2 linked regions of the Caenorhabditis elegans genome follow. The protein of the gene in region 1 purifies or fractionates together with the protein of each later gene. This does not show direct contact. Each region holds a gene or a part of one and is shown in the gene's direction. Other genes may lie near its edges.

Evidence for each region. The genes of interacting proteins can lie anywhere in the genome.
Region 2: the proteins of ife-3 (region 1) and ifg-1 purify together in Caenorhabditis elegans (affinity purification with western blotting, with the first as the bait; one study listed by BioGRID). This does not show direct contact.

The regions. Positions count from the first base shown.
Region 1 is NC_003283.11:3,274-11,249, reverse strand, and holds ife-3 (Eukaryotic translation initiation factor 4E-3), read left to right. Parts: upstream 1-3,420; 5' UTR 3,421-3,431; coding exon 3,432-3,599; intron 3,600-3,640; coding exon 3,641-3,817; intron 3,818-3,856; coding exon 3,857-4,092; intron 4,093-4,139; coding exon 4,140-4,314; 3' UTR 4,315-4,662; downstream 4,663-7,976. Other genes in the region: B0348.10 (uncharacterized protein), read left to right, coding at 2,511-2,675; idpp-2 (Intrinsically Disordered Protein, expressed in Pharynx), read right to left, coding at 4,739-5,226, 5,284-5,712. UniProt on the Caenorhabditis elegans protein: Recognizes and binds the 7-methylguanosine-containing mRNA cap during an early step in the initiation of protein synthesis and facilitates ribosome binding by inducing the unwinding of the mRNAs secondary structures.
Region 2 is NC_003280.10:8,212,598-8,220,841, forward strand, and holds the start of ifg-1 (MIF4G domain-containing protein), read left to right. Parts: upstream 1-4,656; coding exon 4,657-4,705; intron 4,706-4,747; coding exon 4,748-4,841; intron 4,842-4,885; coding exon 4,886-5,002; intron 5,003-5,147; coding exon 5,148-6,240; intron 6,241-6,294; coding exon 6,295-6,498; intron 6,499-6,549; coding exon 6,550-7,516; intron 7,517-7,569; coding exon 7,570-8,140; intron 8,141-8,186; coding exon 8,187-8,244. Other genes in the region: twk-3 (Potassium channel domain-containing protein), read right to left, coding at 56-154; M110.10 (Small integral membrane protein 15), read right to left, coding at 1,577-1,870; M110.3 (E3 ubiquitin-protein ligase MARCHF5), read right to left, coding at 2,200-2,272, 2,775-2,915, 3,177-3,332, 3,385-3,461, 3,707-3,829.

The DNA.
Region 1 (7,976 bases):
GTTCCAGTGAAAATCTGATATAACTTAGTTCCTCTTATGGGCTCTTGCGCGAAAAAGTGCAATCGAGGTGCAAACGCGCTCCACGGCCAAACGACGAGTTTGTGGCCCCTTCAAACACGCGGTGTCAGGTTGTCCCATTACGGGTTGATCTACAGAAAATGCGGGAATTTTTCGCGTAAAAAAATGTGACGTCAGCATGTTCTTAATCATGCGAAATCAGTTGAGAACTCTGCGTCTCAACTCCCGCATTTTCGCAGATCTAAGTAGATCAAACCGAAATGGGGCACTGTGACACCAGGTGTTCAAAAGTGCGTGCATGGTCTCGTCACGCGCCTCAAAAATCTATGAATGGCGCGTGTCAAGACGATCGCGCGTAAATGCGCCCCTTCAAAGTCGTAGAGATGGAAAAAATGCGCTGTATATGATAATAACCTTTTTTCGCGTAAAAATAATCGAAAAACTACTGAAAATAATTGAAAACGTTCGAATTTAATGTTTTACCGCCAATTTTTTGTTGTACCCGGTTTTTTGGCCGTGGAGCACCTTGAATTTTATGAACGATTTTCGAGTTTTTGAACTCGATAAATTTTTAATTTCACTCGACTTATTTTTTTTACCAAAAAATAAGTTTAAAAATCCATAGAAAACTTAAAAATTCAGTAGAAAATCTGAGAAATATGAATTTTCCAGTCTCCGTTATAGACACTGGTCGCGGCTGAATTTGAGAAAAGCCGGAGGCACAGGAATTTGAATTTTTCATTGGTTTAGATTTAAAAAAACATAATTCGAAATCGATGTGGAAACGCGCTCCACGGAAAATTGGCAAAGCTCCGCCCCCAAACCATAGGTCTCGTTAGGCATGTGGCGGCAAAACTGTGAATTCAAATGTTTCGCCAATTTTCAAATACCGTATTTCCTCTATTAGTCTTGCACCCCTACGGACCAATCGAAAATTAGTCTTGCAGCCTCTATTAGTATTGCATGCAAGACTATTAGAGAGCATACGGTAATAGTCTTGCACCCCTATTCTTGCCAGACCAGCAGTATTTTGTGAAAACTTCAAAAATTTCGCCATTTTTTAGCCAAATTAAGTTTTAAAGTGTTCAAATAATTGATAAAACAATAGAAAAGTATGTATTTTGCACGATTTAGACAGTTTCAAGTCAAATTTTTGACGATAAATTATCAATTTTACAAAGCTATTGGATCTTCGAAAATTAGTCTTGCAGCCTCTAATAGTCTTGCAGTCTCTATTAGTCTTGCACCCCTACGGGTCAATTGAAAATTAGTCTTGCATGCAAGACTAATAGAGGGAATACGGTATTTTCGTTGTTTTTATTGAATTTTACGTCGAAAAAAGTATTAAGAACTTAAAAATTAAAAAAAAAACTAGTTTTCGTTTTTTGGAGCGTTTTCAATAGCTCGTGGAGCGCGATTTCACCAGAGATCTTTTTACAGCGTTTCCATATAACGTGGAATTCCTCATTGTTATGCGAACAATTTAAGACGCTTAAATAGGAAATGATAACATAATTATTTTGTCGAAATATATAAGAAGAGTCTGAAAAAATTGAGCTTCCGACTCTTTTTTGCCGCAAAAAAAGTTTACTTTTTTCCAGTAAACTTTTTGTGCCGCACACCTCTATTCTGCAAACAAACTATAGAATTTCAAATGCTGTGGGCTTCGCGTGTGTGAGTGGAAATGAAAATAAATAAATACATACTAAAAAGTGATAATCACATCAAAATTTAGTTCCTACCGCTGCGACACTGAGAAGTTGTCAAAATTTAAGATTTTAGCTGAAAATATACCATTTTCCGAGCGGTCATAACTTTTTTTTTTGAGAAATTTTCAGAACATCTCATTACGAAATTAGTTTTGGAACATTTTGGGTCCCAAAAAGCCAAGTCTCGAATTTCGGTGATCCTCCTTTAAGTCTGTGGAACTACTGAAAACTAGCAAAAAACGATGATTGTTAGGAGAATAATGCGGCTACGAAAATGTTGTGTGTATGTGTGTGTGGGGGCGTGGCGCTCTCCGAAGACTTTACGTGGACGACGTGGTAATTATGACGGTCAGAAGGCGGACAAGAGTGCGAGAGACGCAGAGAAGAGAAGCCCAACAGCCGTCGCCGAAAAAATAGACAAAGTATTCGTGACTATGGCTCACCGCCAACACTCTAAAACGGGAAAATCGATGTGGTGGAGAGGAGGAGGAGACGGAGGAGAGAGAGAAATACAGCGAAAGAAGTCGTCGTCGGAGGGCCCCCGACGTCGTCTGACGGCGGGGTGTCAGACGCAGTAGGTTAGACGAATGGCGCCTCGGGGCAACGCTTGCTGCGTCTCTGCGATTCGGAGAACTGTCTGGCCACCTTTTTACGGGACGATGGGCAGGGAAAACAAGGCAAAGTGAGAGAGAGAGAGAGAGATATGTGCGACGAGTTGAGGCACACAGAGAGGGAAAAGGCGCCCAGCGGCAGCAGCAGCAACACCCAGACCGATATATTTATATGTGCATGTTGTGGAGGCTGCTGCTGTATGTGTCTGTGTGTATGCTCACAAGAGCTCGAGACACCGGGACGGCTCATGAATTCCTGACGACGACGGCGACGCTGAATGCGGCAGAAGGAGAAAAGAAAACGGAGACGCACTCGTGGATAAATTGGAGAAATTGAGAACCACAGGCTGTAAACAATGCACATTTTTTGGGAAAACTCAGATTATCGACTGCAATCTGGAAAATAAATTTTTGAATTTTAAACCTGAAAATATAATTTTTTAGCCTGAATTCCCTGAAAGAGCTCAATTTCTGTGCGAATAACGAGTTTTCAGCGATTAATTTCATTATTTTACCGAATTTTCAATAAAATTTGAAAAATTTTACCTAAACAACTCGATTTTTATTTTAATACAAAAATAATTTTCATATTTTCCGCTGTTTTGTTTAAAGGGGGGCGCAATTCCGCAGACAAGATACTTCGCAACGACAAAAACTACGGTTACACTCGTTTTGCGTGTGTCTGGTGTTTGAATTTCAGGATTCGCGCCTTTCTTTCCATTTCTTCATTTTCCAAGGTTTTTCGGGGAAATCGCTCTTTTTTTTTTCACTTTTACGATTAAAAAACAGCTAGAATGTTTAAAAACTACTAGGAATTTCATGGGAAACGAATCATTTGATGATTTTTCGTCGAAGTTGAGCTGAATTCATTTTCTACTTTGTTTTATTGTTTTCCAAGCTTTAATATCAATTTATTGTGCCCGATGTTACCAATTACACTTGAAAAATCTAAAAAGCTTGGAAACTAGCCGAAAATGTGCAGTAAAACAAAATTTCCTATAAAATCCGAGTTATTTGAACCAAATTCATACTCTTCTCTATTTTATCGTTTTCCGAGCTCTAATCGTATATAATATTACCTATTTTCAGCTAAATGAGCACATCCGTAGCGGAAAACAAAGCATTGTCAGCTTCCGGCGATGTGAATGCGTCCGATGCTTCAGTTCCTCCAGAGCTTCTCACCAGACACCCCCTCCAGAATCGCTGGGCTCTCTGGTACTTGAAAGCTGACCGTAACAAGGAATGGGAGGATTGTCTGAAGGTAGAAGATTTTTAAATACGTCTTTTATCGATTTTTTCCAGATGGTTTCACTTTTCGACACTGTCGAGGACTTCTGGTCGCTGTACAATCACATTCAGTCTGCCGGAGGATTGAACTGGGGATCCGATTATTACTTGTTCAAGGAAGGAATCAAGCCAATGTGGGAGGACGTCAACAACGTTCAAGGTGGACGTTGGTTGGTTGTTGTCGATAAGCAAGTACGTTTTGAGAAATATATTTTATTCAATGAATCATAGAAGCTTCAGAGAAGAACGCAATTGCTCGATCACTACTGGTTGGAGCTGTTGATGGCTATTGTTGGAGAGCAATTCGACGAGTACGGAGACTACATCTGCGGAGCTGTCGTGAATGTTCGTCAAAAGGGTGACAAGGTTTCCTTGTGGACTCGTGATGCTACTCGCGATGATGTCAATCTTCGCATCGGACAGGTTTTGAAGCAGAAATTGAGCATTCCGGATACTGAGATTTTGAGGTAATTTTACAATTTTAGTATTTGCTATCTAAGTAAAATATTTCCAGATACGAAGTTCACAAGGACTCGTCGGCTCGCACCTCATCGACTGTCAAGCCACGCATATGTCTTCCAGCCAAGGATCCAGCACCAGTGAAGGAAAAGGGACCAGCCGCAACGACTTCTCCATCGAATCCCGGCACGGAGGCTACAGGAACTTCTCCAGCCACCCCAACTCCTTAAGCATATTCTAAAGATCTCACCAATTCCTCTCACCGTAAATGAGCTTCCCCGTACTCCCAGTCTCAATGTTGTCTTGAAAAATGAACTGTTTTTCGGACACGATCATCGCTTTAACTATTCGAAAATCAGCTCATTTTTCAAGTCGTACCCCCCACCTAATGTATTGGTGCTTCCCCTCCAATTTGTACCTACTGTTTCGCTTCCCCCTATTGATTTACCGGTTTTCGTATTGCTCTCTTGTTGTTACTAGATTCGAGACTGATCGACGCCTGTAGCCGAATTCGTTTGTTCTTCAGGTTAATTGATGAATATATATTTATTCGGTAAATATAAATAGATATGTTAGTTATTATTCTTCTTCACACACATGATTTGTAGGGCGTTTGATTTTGTACATTTTTAAAAATTGATTCTATTCTTGTTTTCAGGCAGACTTCTCCGATGTCTTTACAGTTTTTGCAGGCTTTGCCGTAGTCGATGTGTTCGAGCTAGACGAAGGAGCTGCGGCAACAGTCTTCTTGGTTGGCTTCCTAGCTTTCCGAGGTTTCCGTGTGCTCGTCGTGCTCGGCGAGCCGGTAGTGGTCTTTTTGTTTGCTTTGGCCGCATCGTCGTGTTGATAGGAATCAACATCCCGCGACATAATTCCCATCGGAGAGCCAATTCCTCGGTTCCAGTGATTCGAAGCAATGTTCATGTTGTAATCTATGGGAATTCCTCCTCCACGTGATGGGATCTGTGGTCCACTGCCGCCATAAAGCATACGCTCAAGTTGGGAATCATGGCTTCCGAATCGTTCGCGAAGATATGCGGGACCATAGCGTGACGCATAGGTGGCAAGCTCGCGAAGTGATGGGATCGCGGAATTTGTAGCTCCATTGAAACTGTTCATCAGGTCGTTAGATGCGTAATCAGCTGGAAAATAGCGGATTTTAAAGAATTTTATAGCGCATAGAAAAATCGTATACTTACGTGGATACTCAGTCTGTGGAATTTTCGTCTTCCTGGAGCTCATAGGCGGCACAACGGCACCCCGTCTCATACCAACAGTGCTCCCGTAGTACCCAGATCGACTTCCTCCGACCAGTCCGGAAAATGGAGCGGCCGGCCGGATATTGTACTCTTCTAGACCCCCAGGATATGGGGAACCTCCACCAAGATTCACTGTGCCATATGGATTCGGATTACGGTCACCGTAGAGGCCACCTATTTGTGGGGGTGGCGGGGATCCCGTGTTCCGATAGCCCATTCTGTTTGATCCATAACCGGCTTTATAGGCCATTCTACTGAAAGGAACACGAACTCCGAATGGGGCATTTATGTTTCGTCGTCGGAATGTGGTGACTTTCTTTCGATAAATTGAATCACCGGAATCAACGTCGGATTCTTCGTCTGGGGAACCTGGAAATGCACTTTTTTATTATGTTTTTGCATTTTACAGCGCCAAATGAGCTCCAATTTACATAAAATAAGGATTTTGCCCAGTTTTCAAATGAGATGCGACAGTTCGCGATTTGTTTCGCAAGATTACGATACCAGGTCTCGAGACGATCAAACAAAATAATTTATGGAAAAGAGTGTGCGCCTTTAGGGAGTACTGTAGTTTCGATTTTTCTTGTTCTTTTTTCGGTTTCACGTGTATTCAGCTCGACCCATGCCTCGAAAAGAGCTATTAGAAAAATACACGTGCTGTTTGACAAGTTTTCCAAAAATCAACTTTTTTAAAAGCAGAAATCACGGCCTCTCTTCATTTCAATAATTAAATAAAATAACGTGATGAACTGTCTCTGCGTCTCTCATGGGCGAGAGAGTGAGTTTTTTGAACCGATTTTGCACTGATTACGGAAGAACGAACTATAAACGGCGGATAGTGAAGAAAATTAAACAAAAATTGTTAGACTGATAGATCAGGCAAGTAGCGTCTGAATGAAACCAAAAACAGCGTGGAAGCGTATCAATGAACTCATCCATTCGTGAAAATCCTAAACTAGGGGTTTTTTGGTCATAATTGGCGAAATCGGGCGATTCGCTGATAAATCTTCAGATTTTCCAACAATAAACAAACAACTGAATATTACCTCATCAAATTCGACCAAAAAATCCAAATTTATAACATTAACTATGCTCTTGTAGGGCAAAATGTGAGACCTAGTCGAAAAATTGGTTTTTTACGGGATCCCTGGGGAAGAATGGAAACGAAATTTTAAAAAGTACCGCCTTACGATTGTAGAGAATTTTTTTCCGGTCATTTTTTGACATTGCACAAAAATTTTCGATAAAAACTGGCTCCGGAATTTCAAAAACAAGAATTAGGCCTGAAAACACCAAAAATGGGCCATTTTTGAATGGTTAACGCAATTTTACTAAAAAACGATGACATTTATCAAAAAACTACCGCCTTACGATTTTTACAAATTGTTCAATGAAGATATCAAGACATTAATGCCGTGATTTGGTTAAAAATTGACTGAGTAATTTCACTTTTAGGACATTGTGGTTTATAGTGGTTTTTGATTGGTTTTGTTTGGAAGCCCGTAGCTCAATAACTAAAGAAGCTATCAAAAAACTGTCAACTAAAGAAATAATCCTCATAAAACGATTAAAACTTACAGTTTAAATACATTTCAGTTTTTCTGATGGCTGCAGAGTTATGATATCACTAAGCGCCCAATCTTAAATTTCGGAGAAAAAAATCTTGCGAGGAGATTAAACTAATTTTTTTCAACCAATTATATTGGCATTTGGTAGGTAGGTGAATGACAATGGTTTTTTATAGTAAAAACAGTTTAGGCTTACTGGAGCCTGTTTTACTTGTGTTTTATGGCGCTTAGCTTTTTTGCGTTACAATATAGTTGTACTCGTTTCAGTTAGATAGTTAGATTTATCTAACGATAGAACGTATTTAGACCAAGAGATTGACAAAATTGAAGTTTTGCTTTAACAGTTCCTTGAATAAATAAAGAGTGTTTTTCCTAATGAAACTGATGAAATAATGAGTCACTCCGAAACTTCATCTCCTTGTCTGTCATTTAATTCCATATTTGAGAAAGCATCACACGTCAGAACAAGGAATCGAACATTTCTTTGCAGTTTTTAACAATATGAAAACTTTCTACGCTCCAGTTCGCAGCCTGGAGGACAGAGCTCTTCTCAAGATCGTGTATCATGAATTCTATTTCAATAAAATTTGATTTAATTAAACACAAATTATTATTCAGAAAGTAATATTTCACGTGAGAGAGTGAGAGAGCAGAGAGAAAAAGATGAATTTTGAAAAACGTGAAATTTAGAGAGGCCGTGAGAAATGGGAAAATCACGGAATTCTGGCCTCCCTCATAAATCGAAATGGCAGAGTTTGCCGAACTAGGCCATTTTGAGTCTGCGAGATTTTGTGTAGGTTTACGGCGCGTTGCGTGTCGCGTCGCGGCTCGTTTTTAGTTGTAAAACCGATGGATTTGTCCGTGTGGAGTACACTACACTTTTCCACGCGTTGTCCGGCAGGCGATTGCCAATGGAGCGCGAAAATTCAATGAGAAAGGCGAGAATCCCGTGAAAATCAATAAACAATCGTTTGCCACGTCGAGACCCGGTGTTGTATTATTGCGTCGTAAACCTTTAAATGGGGTATTATACAGACGCGAAATGTTCCGATTTTTGCGCCGAAA
Region 2 (8,244 bases), on another chromosome or scaffold:
CAAATTTACACTGTTGAATTGCAAAATGTGAATACTGAATATTTCAAAAACTTACATATTTATTCAAAAGACTTCTATCAGTCGCAACTTTCTTATCTTTACTTGTAGCTGATAACATCTGAATCTTAGAATTCTCTTCCATTGAAACCGTCATTTTTAAGAAGAACAAGGAAAAAGTTGAAGAATGAATGTAAGGGAAGAATAAGGACCAAAAAGAAAAGGGTGGTTTTTATATATTAAAATATTCAAAAGATCTCATAAAATTGTGAGGGCGCAGACATAAAATACTAATTGGATGGCGTATAGGCAAGAGTCTCTTGAATTTTTGAAGATGGGGTCACTAATTACACGTCTTGCAATTCTTTTAGAATGTTCAAAATGGATCAAAGCGATGTATCACTTGTGGGATTTTTATCTTTTTTTTTACATATTTAGTCATATTAGTGAAGCAATATAATACATAGAGTATATGAAATTAGTACAAAATAATATCACTAGACATTTTGAGAACAATCCAAATGCTTAAAGTAAGTTTAGGCAAGCACAAAAAGAAAACTACCAAACCGATATAATTTCTAAATAGTATTTCCTTTTAACTTGGTCTTCTTACGTTTTACACCGAGAATTCCAAATTTGCAATTGAGACAACTGGCTGAGTTGTCGCTCGCTAAGATTTCAATAAGAAATGTTAACCTAGTTCATAAAGTGAGCTAAAAAACCCAATAGAACAATGAAATAGAATATCCATTTCTTTTCCCAACCAGCACGAAACTTTTTCGAGGTCCCCTTAAATTGTTTCTTATATCTCTTCGTCTTGTGCACTCTCTCGGCTTCATCAGAAATGCAACGTCTCACCTTGTTTCCGTCATTCAACTTTATTATTTTTGGGTATTTTATTATTCGGAATAGTGCTTTTACATGTAAAAATGTACAGGGATACAATTATAATTCTGCAAAAAAATAGTTACATTGTCTGACAAAATGTAGAAAACCATTCTATGTGTATTTTATCACTTGGAAATATGAAAATGAAAAAATAGGAAAATATTTAGCTGACTCAAATCATTATCCGAGTTAATTCACCTGTTACTTCAGAATGAAATATGTAAGATAAAGTGATTTATTTTTTGGTCTAGTTTTTCCAATTTTAGACAAATTAGACAGAAATGCTAACGTTTTGTCTGAGGTCTCCAAACGACCAAAACTTCTGCATTTTATGGAATTTGACGTTTTAAAAAATTAATGTGTAGTTTTTGCATTAAGAAAACCGAGCAAACAACAGAAAATAGGAGAAAAATGCGAAGAAATTGTGAGTACGGTAGCTTTGAAGTTTCGGTCGTGTCGGGACCTAGAACAGTAGTTTTTGTACCAAAATTCAATAAATTCTGGAACCAAGAGTGAAAATTGCAAAGACTAGATTAAGTTGTGTGTTGTTTCAAAAATATAAAAATACGAATTATTATTTCAATCCACGTTTATTCATGACTATGCTTTTGAAGATATTTAAGAGATCACAATAAAATTTGAACAAAGAAAACAAGATATTTCAACAGAAAAAGATCATCCATTAAATGAGTCAATTCGATTTCTTGACTTTTTGTTCCATGAGCTTGATGGCTTCTTTGATAACTTCATCATCTTCTTCATTTTCATCCATTTTCGTCTTTCCTCCATTCAACTTTTTGAGAAGTTTGTCTCTTCGACTTTGAATCAATTTTTGTTTTTTCATTGATTGTTTGACTCTCCAATTGAACATGAAAACCACTAAAATTAATGGAATTGTAAGAGCCAACACCGATTCGACCGTATAGAATGGGTGATCCAAAATCATCCAATACAACTTTTGAAACTGATTTCGTATATTATTCATCTACAAAAATTGAGAGATAAAAAAAAGTAACTTAAGAAAAATTAAAATGAAGTAGACAGAGTCTTTACACTGAAAAAGTCTTTACTATTCATAAAATGGATACTGAAGTTATAAATTAAAACTTTATTGATAAGTACAAATTTGTCGTTTTATTGGTACAACGAAGCTGAAATCACAGAAAATACAGAAAAAACACTGAGATGATAGAGACAAGAGTGTGAGAGAAAGAAAACGGAAAACCAGGTCAGTTGTTGGGAGGATAAAGCAAATAAGAGGAGGAGCGACACTTGAGCACTTCAGCAACCCGTATGGAGGACAAGTGAACTGTACTAGTTGAGAACAGACGATTGGCTGATTTCTTCCCAGTGCATATCGGTTGGAAGTCGTGCCTTGATTTCTCGTCTGAAATTGGCACAATTTGAATATGAAACAGATATTCGTAAAATACGTTTTTTGTGACAATTAACTTTAAAGGCACACGTCACTTTTCTGAGCGGGTCTCGCCACAATCACAGCAGTAGTTTAAAAATTTGTAGAATTTAATAGTAGCCAATTTTATATAGAAAATTAAATTATGAAATTACATATTAAGGGAACAATAAATCATGAGAATGCGTACTTGGTGCATTTTATTTGACGCGCGATATCTCTTAGCGAAAAATACAGTAAGAACTCAAATAACAATAGATATTTAAGCTCTTACTGTAGTTTTCGCTAAGAGATATAGCGCGTCAAATAAAATGCACTAAGTACACATTCTCATGATTTATTGTTCCCGTAATATATTAAGCTGTTCAGAAATTTCCTGAATTTACCTCAAAACGGTATGATTATATATTTTTTAATTGGGCTCTAGCAAAAATGTGACCGAAGAGAAACAAATCTATAAATATTGGATACGTACCTTTCTTCATAGTCATCAATACTAACTCGGAAAATCGAAGAAGCAAGTCTTAGTCCGAGATTTCCGTAGTAGCAAAACCTCCTTCCAGATGCTACAAAACATTTCCACATGGTGCATAGAATTATCTCTCGGAAAATTCCCCTGAAACAATTACGACGATTTATGGATGTTATTTTCGAGAAGTTTGATTCTATTTCGCTGTTTGAATTGGAGAAAGATAATTTTAAATATTTGGAAACTTCGAATTCATTTAATCAATTATTTCAGTTTCATTTTATGAACATTTCTGGATTTTGTTACAGTTGTATTTTCTATTCCCATCTAATAATACGAGAGGAGAAAAATAAAACAATGTTCAAATTTGTAAAACCCCATGATAGTTTTTTTTTCAGATATTCTTACTTTGTTCCGTTCATCATTCCAACGAAACCGGATACAGTTCTCCATGTTATCCATAAATCAACAGTAATTTCCAGCAAGCCAAACTTATCGATTCCAAAGCGAGGAATTGTCCAGGATTTCCATGATTTGAGTGTTAATTGTTTTTGATATCGTGTTCTGGAAATTGGAATATTCAGAAATTTTCTTCAATAAACTTTAATTAACGTACTGGCACTGAATACACATAACTTGTTGTACAGCATTCGCTTTCGAAAACCACATGGCCAGGCATTGATGATGAACCCACTGAAAAAAAAGTTGGAGTGAAAAACTAGAATTATTCGCGAAAATCGAACAGTTTCTCAAGGTTATAACAAAAATTTTTCAAGGTTCCTGAACTTTCCTAGTTAATTTTAATATCAATTTTCGCAATATTTATTTTGATTCGATAAGCATATTGATTCATGTATCTCTTTTTTAATTTAACACTCATAAATTTAATTTTTCTATTCAATAAGCATAAAAAACATTTTTCGAATATGAAATCTCACGTGAATAGATCCTCGACATCGACACGGATGAACGAAGCTTAACGCATTATCACTTTCCGTTCCGAAGCAGAATTTACAATATTTCTCGGTTTCCTGCTCATTTCCGTCGATTTCTAACGCCATCTTCCGTAACGGTTTGTTTATTTGTTTTTTTTTAATATAAAATCTGATTTCCAAAGAGGAAACCGGATTTCTTTGGTAGATACTTGAAAAGCGATGTGATGAGGGAGAAATAGCGTGCAAAGAGAGGAGAGTTGTGTCGATTTACGCGAGTTGGAACTATGGCAGGCAACTTGTCGCTACGAGACCCATTGTCTCTTGGCTCAGCCTAAATTTATATCGATTTTTCGGAAAAAAACAAACGTTTTGTTGTTTTTTAAACTTGATTTTTGTTTCATAGGTTCAAAATTTTAAATTTCGATCAATATTTATTTCTTCAATGTTTTGAAATCAGGCATTTCGAAATTTATTGATTTCCGGTTGCGAAATTGGTTAAGACTTTGTTTACTTTCTGTTCTGACTGGCGATATCTTTGGAATTTACTCATAATTTTTGTTAAGTTCTTACAGATTCACACGGACTAAACGTAAAACCACTTCTATGCGATTGTATTTTATAGTTTTCATCGATCCATGTAATTTCTCTCGGTGTGCACGTTCTTTAAATTCTGTCGATACATGCACATCTTCTGCTCTTGAGTATGAAGGAGACGATGTGCAGTCATTTTTTATTGTTGACATCACCAGTTTAAATAATCGATATTCTAAACGCTGCGTTCTGCACTTTTTCTGTTCTTGCTATCTGTAGAGAAAACACTTTTACCTTCACTCTGCTCTTATTTTGAAAAATAACGTTATTCCTCCTCCCTCAATTTCCCCTTCTCTAATTATTCTCTATCGTTTTTTATTTTATTAAAACTCTTTTCAGTGACTTCCTCAAACTGAAAGATTATGTCAAACGCTGTTAGTAGGGGGCCTGGGAGAGGGAAGCCGAATCAAGGTAAGTGCTCACGGTTTTTGTCAGTTTTCTAATTCCTTCAAGGTTTTCATTCAGATCACAATGCAGTTCCTATGCAGGATTCATCCCAACAATTCGTGATGCCATTTGTTAACACATCTGGCCCAGTGAACTCAAAGTAAGAAGTTGAAAATATTTTCCATGGCTAAAGTTCTTTTTCAGCTATCAAAGAATGCCAATGAACCAGTCGGCGTATCCACAATATGGCCAACAACAATACAACCAACCACAAACAAATCACTATTATCCGCCACAAGCACCACAGCACCAGCAACAATAGTAAGTTTTTTTTTAAATATTAAATATATTTAGCTTATCATTTCCAAAATTTTACTCACACTGAAAAATAAATTTTCTTAAAAATATGAGTATCCCAAACGCTTACTTCTGTTACCTACCAGTTTTTCATGAATATCATTTTCAGTGGTGGATATCAGCGACCGGACTATGGTCATCAACCACAGATGTACAATCAACAGTACCAAGGCTACCAAGCTCCTCAGCAATACCACCCAGAAATGCCATATCAACCAGCTCAGCCAGCACAACAACAGATGACTCATACAGCTCCACAAGAACCTAAACGGCAAAGGAAAGCACTGGAAATTGTCGATCCAACTACGAAAAAGGCAATTGAAGTGACGCCTCATCTTGCACCAGCTGCACCAGCGCCAGCGGCTCCAGCAGCCCCGATTGCCCCAGAGGAAGAAAAGAAAAAACAAAACATTACTTTAGAATTCTTGAATCAGGTCAAAAATGAACTACATCATGAAGACAGACGACATGATAATCCTCCTGCGGTCCCAGCTGCGGTCCCAGCTGCGGTGCAAGCTGCTGTACTTCCCAATTTTAGCGTACCACCGCCAGCCCTGGGACAGACACCTCCAGCAGCATCCATAGCTCCACAAGTTGTACCGTCCGTTCCGAAAACTCCAGAAGCACCAGCAAAGGCTGATTACGAAGTAAAACAAGCAGAAACCCTTGTGACGCCTGTTTCATCTCCCCATGCATCAGACACAACCACCACTACGCCCGCCAGTGGAACTGCAGAATCAGCATCTACTGTAGCTGATGTCAGAGTTACTCCAACACTGACAAAGGAAGAATCAAAAGAGGAAACTGATGATGATAAATTTGAGGAGAATGATGAAAGAGAAAGTACGCCAGACGTTGCTGACTCTTCTACAGAAAAGACTCCTGAGGAGCTGGAAATCGAAAAAGCACAGAAAGAAGCCGAAGAGATTGAAAAGAAAAAACTTCGCGAGGAAGCTTTAGAGAAAAGAATCGAGGAGCTTATCCTGGCCGGAAGTGCTGTCATCTCGGATGGAACTTTTGGAAGAGATTTCATGGTTACTATTCGCGAAATTGAAAAAGTTTTCTCTCGGACCCCATGTCCACTGTCACCAGCTCAGCTAGCTGATTTCGGATTGGATATCAAAACGATGCGAGTTTCTGATAATAAGAAGCCTAATTTCACACCAAACTGGGCAAACAAAGGAGGAAACCGCCAGCAGGTTGTAAGTTATCATTATTTAATAAAAGCCATAATTCAAACAATATTGTATTTTCAGCCATACCGTGGAAGAACAACCACAGATGGAACCGGGCGTGGCGGTCAGCAGCAAAGAGATCGTATGCACAACAAGCGACCACCAGTTGTTAGACCTTCGATTGAACGAGTTCAGAGAGTTACACTTCCATCATCGAAAGATGCATGGAAGCCAGACCGTCAAAAAACCGCGGAAGCTGTTGCAAGCGAGGAAGCTGCGGTTATTGTAAGTTATTCGTGATTAATCAAAACTATAAACTGTTAAACCAAATTTCAGGAAGTTTGTAAGAAGGTTCGGTCTCTTATGAACAAGGTGACGCCTACATCACAACGTCCTCTCACCGAAGAATTCATTTCCTACAATGTATCCTCCAACGATGCGCAGCTCGCTCAAGTTGTCGAAATCGTCTTTGACAAGGCAGTTGAAGAGCCAAAGTTCTGTGCTTTGTACGCTGAAATGTGTAAGGCTCAGGCGAATCATGAACTATCCCAGACCGGCGGAAAGTCAGCCTTCAGAAATAAGGTTTTGACTCGGACGCAGATGACATTCCAGGATAAAAAAGACATTGATGCAGACAAACTGGCAATCATCGAAAAAGAAGAAGATCCAGTGAAAAAGGAATTGATGCTTGCAGAGGAGAAACAGAAATTTAGACGGAGAAAGTTCGGAGTTATGACGTTTATGGGTTATCTGTATAGAAATCAACTTTTATCCACAAAAATCGTCCAAACGTGTACATTCGAATTGTTCAATTCGATCAAGGACCAAGATATTAAAAAAGAGGATGTCGACGAGGAATCTATTCACTGTGGTCTTCAACTCATCGAGACTGTAGGCGTGATGTTGGATAAATCAAAAGATTCCACGACCGTATTCCTTGATCAATGGTTCCAGAAGTTGGAAGCTGCCAAACCTTACTGCTCAAACAAAATCCGTTTCATGATCATGAATCTTATGGAGCTTCGCAAAGACAAATGGATTCCAAGAAAATCTACCGAGTCTGGACCGAAAAAAATCGATGAAATTCACAAAGATATTCGTCAAGAGAAGATTGAAAATGAGAAAGCTCGTGATCAATATGATCGGGATCGTGATCGTCGTCATGGAGGTGTCAGACCAAACAGCAACTCTCTCAGAAAATCAGTTCCAGTCTCCAGGAATTCATTGGATAGGAACCGAGGAATGCAACACCCTGAACAAAAAAGAGCCGCTGCTGCAGCTAACACAAAACTTGCCTCATCGAGTAAGTATTTTCAGACAAATATTTCTTCAATATTAATTAATTGCAATTTCCAGGTGTTCAACCCAAAAACATCTCGCTCTCTTCGATGGATAATAATACTCTTGGGAAGAGCAAAAAAGAGTGGCATTCTGGTGCTTCTGGTGGAGGAAACACTTCTTCCGAATCTGCCGTTCCAGTCAAATCAGCTTGGGGGCGACGTGATTCCAATGATCAACGCAAAAAGTCGACTGTTGACGAGAAACAGGCCGCTTTAGCTGCTGCAAAGGAAATCAGTGCAATGTCAATTTCTTCGCGGCGATCCACATCACAAAATTCGAATACTGACAAGACCGACGATGAGCTGACTGAAGAAGAGAAAGCTGTCAGAGCCAAGATTATGAATACCGTTAAATCCGATCTTCTAGAAATGTCTAGTGGTGAGCTCTCCCAAAAGGAATTGGTTGACTCTATCACCGATTATGTTGGAAAAGAAAAATACGGTTCGCCGTCATTGACAGTAGTCTATGAGATGATTATCCGAGCTGTGATCGAAAAAGGTTTGAAGGATGATGATCGAAAGAAGTTGGCTATTGCTCTGCGGATGTCATTGGTCAGCAAGACTGAGAAGCAAGCTTTTATAGAGGGGTAAGGCAAGAGTTTATGATTTATTGAGCTTTACAAATTATTTCAGAGCTACCCGTTTCTGCAAATTCGCTAATGATGTTGAGCTCCAGCAAGATTATCCCAAA